Linked DNA regions of Ovis aries. The protein of the gene in region 1 interacts with the protein of each later gene in a biochemical or structural test. Links are inferred from orthologs where the notes say so. Each region holds a gene or a part of one and is shown on either strand. Other genes may lie near its edges. The genes, in order: RALBP1 and synaptojanin-2-binding protein.

What was found.
Region 2: the proteins of RALBP1 (region 1) and synaptojanin-2-binding protein form a complex in vitro, tested with the Homo sapiens proteins (2 studies listed by BioGRID and IntAct, with this or other methods). The link is inferred for Ovis aries from reciprocal best matches to the Homo sapiens genes RALBP1 and SYNJ2BP.

Annotation. Positions count from the first base shown.
Region 1 is NC_056076.1:42,110,957-42,115,487, forward strand, and holds the start of RALBP1 (ralA-binding protein 1), read left to right. Parts: upstream 1-1,718; 5' UTR 1,719-1,881; intron 1,882-2,302; exon of another isoform or gene 2,303-2,381; intron 2,382-2,498; exon of another isoform or gene 2,499-3,265; intron 3,266-4,531. UniProt on the Homo sapiens protein: Multifunctional protein that functions as a downstream effector of RALA and RALB. As a GTPase-activating protein/GAP can inactivate CDC42 and RAC1 by stimulating their GTPase activity.
Region 2 is NC_056064.1:26,356,872-26,360,017, reverse strand, and holds synaptojanin-2-binding protein, read left to right. Parts: upstream 1-1,218; 5' UTR 1,219-1,313; coding exon 1,314-1,751; 3' UTR 1,752-2,379; downstream 2,380-3,146. UniProt on the Homo sapiens protein: Regulates endocytosis of activin type 2 receptor kinases through the Ral/RALBP1-dependent pathway and may be involved in suppression of activin-induced signal transduction.

The DNA.
Region 1 (4,531 bases):
AAAACAGCTGCCACCCGTCCAGACTTCACAAATGTACACCCTTCCAGAAGAGCAAGGAGGCTGCAGTTTACTAGAAGCCCCAACCCACGTCCCATTGAGTCTCATCAGGTTCTGATTGGGTTAGCACCTCTGAAAGGCTCAGCTACCAAAGGGGATGATTACGCTGCATGGCTTAAATGGGAGGAATGACTCTCAAGAGGCAACCAACAAATATGTTCCATAACCACACAGTAATTGCACTGGCTCACTTAGCTAGCTTCACATACTCAAAGCACTTCAAATGAGCTATACAAACCATGGCTTCTGAAGCTGAAGCCAGTCTGCCTAGTGCCAGCTCCTGGTTCCTCTCCCCCTGTTCCCCAACCCCCCACATTTTTTAGCCTTTCATTGCTGCTGCAAAAATGCCTCTTTTTAAAACTATTTACTTATGGCTGTGCTGGGTCTTCGTTGCTGTGTGTGCTTCCTCTAGTTGCAGCAAGCGGAGACTAGTCTTCCCTGAGGTTCACAGGCTTCTCATTGCATTGGCTTCTCTTGTTGCTGCAAAGCACAGGCTCTGGGCATACAGGTGTAGTTCTGGTGCATGGGGTTGCCCCGAGGCATGTGGGATCTTTCCCAACCAGGGATTGAAACTGTGTCCCCTGCATTAGCAGGCGGGTTCTTAGCCACTGGACTACCAGTGAAATTGAGAAAGGTCATATTCTTTGTGAATAACATAACCATCAATAAGATGCTACCTTTCCTCCCTTTTGTGTGTCCATGTAGCAACTTCCAACAACGATTCAATAGCCAATATGGTCAGTGCCCATCCCTTGGCCCAATCAATGTTGCCAGAGGCAGAGTACTGTAATTGGAAAGATAAAATGCCCATCCCAGTGGACAGAGGACACCGTTCTGTTGCCAGAAGAGCAGTAAGAAAGCTTTTCAAAAAGTCAGAATACAATGGCTACCGCAGACCATCTTGGTCTGTTGTGGGCCCGTTGTGGGTCCTTCCTGGGCGTCAAGCCAAGGGGGCTGAACTTTTGAGTGGGAAATGCAGGGTACAAGGGAGGGATCTACCGTCAGACTTGAGGCGGGCTGATTTGGAACAGGATACGGTGGATCACAGAGGTCAGTCTAAATACGTAATGAAGTTGTAGGAAGAGGTGCACAGGCAGGAATGGAGGTGATAGGGAAGGGCCATCTATCCCCAGTCTTGGGGCTTCCCCGGTGGCTCACATGGTAAAGAATCTGCCTGCAATGCGGGAGACCGGGGTTGGATCCCCGGGTCGGGAAGACCCCCTGGAGAAAGGAATTGACAACCCACTCCAGCATTCTTCCCTGGGGAATTCGATGGACAGGAGACATCCCCCAAGTCAACTGCCAAACTTTATAAGACAAGAACATTTGCAGGACAATTCTTGAAGCCTTTGTGAAGGGTTTCTGGAGGAAATGCAGTTATTTCCGTCTTCCTTCAGATCCAGTTCTGTGTGCACGCCTGCCGTGCGAAGGGCAGCTCTGACTCAAGAGCTCCTCGGTACAAGGTGCAAGGATCTAGAGAGGCTCTCGTCTACCCCCGTTTAAGGAACGCTGAGGCCAAGGCCGACACGAAATTCTAGCAGGTTCCTCTTTAGAAGCCCGGGGCGGTTCCTTTGTCCAAATCCCCAGCAAAAGTCCCCACCCCAAGCCAGACTCCCCACCCAGCCCGGGATGAGCCCCACCCCGCGGCTGCTGGGCTGGCCATCGGGCCGGTTTAACTGGTTGGGACTGAAACCCGCGGTGAAGACGGTCTGCGCCTCGGGAGCTAGGGAACAGGCTATGCGGAGCGTGGACAGGACAACTGCCCTTCTCCGGTGTTCGGCCGACTCTGCCCGCAGCAGTCCTCCCGGAGCCCGCGCTGAAGAGGTACCCGACCACCCGGTCCCAGACCACCGAGAACTGCGCAGGCGCCGGCGGAGCTCTGGCGCGACGCGTTCTCTCGCGCGCTCCCGGGTCTCCCCCGCGGGCCCCTGGGCCCGGCAGGCGTGATGCTTCCTGGATGTTGTAGTGCGCCTCCAGCGGAGGGCCGCATGAGGACTGGGCACTAGGTTTCCGAAGACTACTATTCCCAGCGTGCCCCGCGCGGGGGGTCACGGGACACTTGCCCTCACGGCCCCGGCCGTCTGCGCTGGGAGGAGGAGCCGGGAAGCTGGCGGCGGCGGGTGGAGGGAGTGCGCATGCGCGGTGGGCCGGCTCGCCCGGTTCTGTCCCAATCATTGTAAACAGGCGGAGGCTGGGGCGGGGTGGGAATGGGGAGACCGAGGCCGGCCGGGGGCGCAGCGCAGGAAGCGGCCGCGGCGGCAGCGGCGTGAGAGCAAGGAGGTGGCGGCTGCGGCGCTGGCGGTCGCGCGGCGGCGGCGGCGCAGGTCAGTGGCGGGCGGCGGTCGCGTCGGGGCCCGGTGCCTGCAGCCGTCCGCGCGCCTCCCCGCGGCGTCTGTCAGGCAGCGGGCCGGGCTCTCGCGGCCGGGCGGCGAGGCGGGGGCGTGGCTGCCGGGGCGGCGGGGCCGGGCGCTGGTCGGCGGCTCCGGCCCGCGCAGCCCATTCCTCCGCTCGCCGGCCGGGGCTCTTGGGTCCGGGCGAGGAGGGTGGAAGCCGGGCCCTTCCCCGGGGCGCGGGCCTCGGATGGCGGAGAGGGACTCGGGGTTTTACGTAACCGCGGCCAGGATGCTGGAGGGTCTCCGGTGCGCGCCCGGCGCGGAGGGAGGCTGGTGGACGCGGGGGTGCTCCACGGGCGCCGACAAGTCCGAGCTGGGAATTCTTATCAGAACTCCTCGTCAGGTGGGCTTGTGCCCACAGGCTCTTATGGAGGTCAACTGTGGGGTGGCTTTCGGGTTTTGTTTCTTGTTTTAAACGTTGTGAGAGTGAAACAGGTTTCCCCGAGTACCCCACACCCGAGCCTCCCTTAGTTCCTCACGCCCCTCGGGTTTGGGAGTCGTGACTCCAGAGCCTCCCCGCTGAGCAAGCAGAGCATCTTCTCCTAAGGCCTGGTTGAGTGCTCGAAGGTGATCAAGTGTTAACCTGAGCAGTTTTGACGGTGCGGGTGAAAGTGCTGTGGTTCGGATGCCGCGTTCACGTGGACGCGCCGGGTCAGGAGCCGGTCACCGCGGGTTGTGCGCCTGGAGCGGGCGGGTCTCCGCCCTGCGGCCCCGGTGGTGGTGCAGGTGCTCGGCGGAGAAGCGCTCACGTTCTCCGGAAGCCGCCGGCCACAGGCGGTTCGCTGGTCACGGAGTCTTGTCTGGAAATGAGAAAGGTAATCCATTTTCCGCCTTCCGAATTAGCTTGGCCACTTGGTCCTTTCTGAGTGTCTTCCTGAGGACGAGTTAATTGCTGTCAGCTGTTTCGGCAGATGGTGCCGGCAGGAAGGAAGTTAGTTAGCAGAGGGGCTTCCACTTTTCAGAGTGACCCATAAAAGGAAGCGAGGTGGGCTAGCTAAACAGGAGCCGATGGGAAGTAATTTTTTAAACAGTATCTTGAAGCTGCGAGAGATAATTTATTATCTCTTTAAAATAGTATTGCTCCTTTTAGGTCTTCTAGGGACCATTTCTCCCTTGATTTAGAAAAATAGAAGTGATATCAGAAAGTGCATAATAACTTTAATTATGGTGTTTCCTTTACAAAGAGAGATTGGGCCCAAAATATAACCCAAAAGTATGTTCTTTCTTTTTTGGAAGAAAATCTCCAATAGAAGCTTTTGTTAGTATATGTAGAGGAAATAAGTAAAAGTGCAGGTCATTTAGTTTAATTTCTGTGTAGCAGGTACTGTGAAGACTTACAGATGGATAAGGTAGTGCCCCTGCCTTCAGGATGCTAAGACTATCTCTTACTTGAACTTCCATGAAGACTGTGTTTTTGAGATTGCTTTGACTGAAGGAAGGCCAGGGGCACGGTGGGTATACAAGGGAGGTAGTGGTCAGTTTTAAAGGGGCAGGGAGGAGAGTGTGGAAGGGGGCAGTGGTAGGGAAAACTATGGGAAGGGCTGAGAACAGTGAGGAGACAGGCTCAGACAGGATGGGCATTTCGGTAGGAGGATCTGTTTGAGAAAAGCCAGGAGTCCAAACTTACAGAGTGAGTGTGGGATCTGCAGGTATGGCCCATAAGGGTGGTGGGTGGTGGCAAGCTGTGAAACCCAGGAGGTAGGCAGAGGCCAAATTAGGAAGTTTTGTAGACAGGTGAAATAATTTCAGCTTTATCTTGAAGCAGACAGGAGTCACTGAGACAGGATAAAGAGGCCTAAGCCTCTCTCATAGGGACTAGAGTTACAGAGTTACATTGTAACTCTTCCCTGTGTGTCAGGCCTTGTATTAGGTGTTTTAGACTTGATGTCCTTAAACTTGAAGAAGGCTTTGGCATGAAGGAGGCAGAAATTGCAGGAGAAGAGGCTAAGGCCAAGGGAAAGTTGAACCAGAGGACTGTGAGGGTGGAAAGTCGTTCTCTGCAGCTGTAGCATTGGGCTTATGGGATCAGGTGAGGCTGCACAGATCGGTCCCCATGCCATCCTAAGGGTTCTCGAGGGCTT
Region 2 (3,146 bases), on another chromosome or scaffold:
ACAAGAGGAGCCTATAGTGGGCTCTACAAAGTGGGCTCTACAGTCCATGGCATCGCTCAGACACGACTGAGCACACACACACGCTCCACTCAAATACAAATTGTCTTATTCTAAAGGAAAGAAGCCCTAAATGGAGAAGAAATAAGATCTCCAGTTGTTACATGGAGTGACTTACCTACTGCATGAGATGTTGATTCCTTGCTCCACCCGCTAAGAGCTGGGACAGCCAGAGAAGCTTCAGGGAATTTTAAGGGGAAGATCCTCAGGACGAGTGGTCCGGGCAGCTGCTAGGGCCTTACCCCCAAAATCCCCCAACCAGAGCTGGCTGGCCATGAGCAGCAAGACTGGCTGCTCATACTGCTTTGCCATATAATAGGTCAATAAATCAAGTGACAAGTTGTTGGGGTAAGGAATGGCAGCCTGAGAAGATGGCAGACTTGTGTCCTTATGAACCATCTTCCTTGAGTTAGAATCCAGGCTTCTTTTAACACTGAAAGAGGAGGGAGTAAGGCCCTGGTTCTGGCCAGACTCCAGGAGGGATTTCCTCCTGCCTTCAGTCTTTCACAGATGGGCCTGGTCAGGAAGATGCTTCCTCGTGAGCTAAACGAAGGTATTTTAGCTTAGTGTTCATTACCTGGGTGACAAGTGTCCCAGAGATGGTCCATTATGGGTAATTTAAGCTTAGAGGCAACATCCCGTTAGTGATTAACTTGTAGAAGAACACAAAGGTTCTTCTCCCTCTTATAGTCACACAAGTAGATTGGCAACGACGCCTGAGACTTACAGTCAGCTTTATTGATCATGGACACCTGTGTTCGTTTTACAGGCCACAGAACCGTTTCACATTCACCATTTTGGGGTCTCCTTTCTCGTCCTGTAAGGTCCTTCATAACCTTACATTGAGGGTCCACACAGCTTTTCCATTTCCCCACACACCCTTGAAACCTCAGCTCCTCCTGGTAATGCCTTTTCATTGCTCATTTTAGACTTCAGTCGCCCAGAAAGAATCTCATTGGCACAGCTCACCTCCTTGCACATGGCTGATATGGGTACCGGCTCTAAAATCTGCACTGCTGCTCATTCCACAACCTCTGGACGAAGGCTGGGCCAAGGACTGTTGTGATAAATGCAGCTATTTATTCAAACATTAATAGGCACCGACAGGTTTCCCTGCACAGGGCCAGATGCTCTGGTTAGAGAGATGAATAAGCCATGGCCGAAAGTGCGGTGTTGTGGCTGCTGCCGGTAGTGCTTCTCACCTTCAACCTGCACCGATCCTCGCTGACCCCGGTCGGGAAGCCAGAGATTAAAATATGAACGGAAGAGTGGATTACTTGATTACCGAGGAAGAGATCAATCTCACCAGAGGACCGTCAGGGCTGGGCTTCAACATCGTCGGTGGGACAGATCAGCAGTATGTCTCCGACAACAGTGGCATCTTCGTCAGCCGCATCAAAGAGAACGGGGCTGCAGCCCTGGATGGGCGGCTCCAGGAGGGTGATAAGATCCTCTCGGTCAACGGCCAAGACCTAAAGAACCTGCTGCACCAGGATGCTGTGGACCCCTTCCGTAATGCAGGCTATGCTGTGTCCCTGAGAGTGCAGCACAGGTTACAGGTGCAGAATGGGCCCATAGGACCTCAAGGCGAAGGGGAGCCAAGTGGTATTCCCATAACTATGGTGCTGGTGCCAGTGTTTGCCCTCACCATGGTAGCAGCCTGGGCCTTCATGAGATACCGGCAACGACTTTGAAAAACTTGCTTTCTTCCTGTGCTCCCAAAGAAGAAGATACATTTCTCTTTTTCTCTCACCCTCTCCTGCCAGTCTTCCATAACTTTTCCCTCTACATAGCCAGCTCATGATTTCAAGAGACTGCTACCCAACCAGAATCTTGCTATTTGAAATCTCTGAATCCTCATTTTCTCATGGGAGAGTAAAGGCAGTGTCTGAAGGAAACCCGAAAGAAGGACTTGCCTAGAACAAACGAAGAGTTATATATTTTACTAGAACCGCCAATAGAAGTTCAGCTACAACCCAAAAAATGGGAAAGGTCCAGTCTTCCCATCACCCTGCAGTATTCCTTTTTTTCTTACCTGGCATGCATCAAAGGCCAGCTGTAATAAGAGGAAAAAAGGATTTTTCTCTTTAATGATCTTCCTTGGGAAGTTTTTGTGGCCTTTTATTTAATTTCTAACTATTAATACCTACTTGGGCACCTACTTTGTATCAAACAAAGATGATTGAGAAGAACATTTCTACTTTTTAAAACAAACATATATATATATATACACACACGCACACACACATATATATACGTACATATTCATGTATGATATTATAATAGTGATGCCTTATGGAGAATTAAAGAAGTGGAAAGCAACTCCGGTTTCTAGGTTTCTGCTATAAGGATTAAGTGATAGTCTTCAATAGAAGAATTCAGTATGTAGCAAGAGTAATAGAGTGAGGCTTAAAAGAGGATAGCAATCTGAGTCATTTAAAAAAACGAAAACTAAAGCAACTAATTAAGAATCTTAAAAAAAAAAAAAAAATAAGCCATGGCCCCAAGGAGGAGGAAGACACCTCACAGGTGACAAGCAGAAGCTGTGGGTAGGGTCCCGTGTCACTTAGCTTCTTCGCACTGCAAGAGTCAGATTCACGAGCGAGGTCTCCTGTAGGTTTTCACATAGACTGGGACAGCCCGGAAAACTGTCAGCACCCACGGCAGCCCAGGGACTGACCGCTGCTGCCTTTGCCCTGGGCTCCTCTCACGCCTGCTTTTTCTATCTCGTACGTCCTCTTCCTACTGTGTGGTCTCTGCTGTCCCGTGTCTTCCACCTCATCTCACCCCTAGTCTTGGCCCCACATCAGCCTTGACCTCTCTCCAGAGGCAGCCAATTCAGGCTTTGCTGCCTGATGCCATGAGGCTGTGGGTGCAGGCATAGAAAGGTGCTGGAATGGGCCAAAGATGCCCCCCTTTACCCAGGGTGGTGGGCATGGCCACACGACCAGTGCCATCCATCACTTACCAACCCAGCCCACCTCCTAGATATCTAGTTACCAGGACACCCTGTCATGAGTCCATTCTCACAGCCACAGTTGAAGATGCATTACACCCTTCCAGCCAGGATTGAAACGTCTCACTTCCAA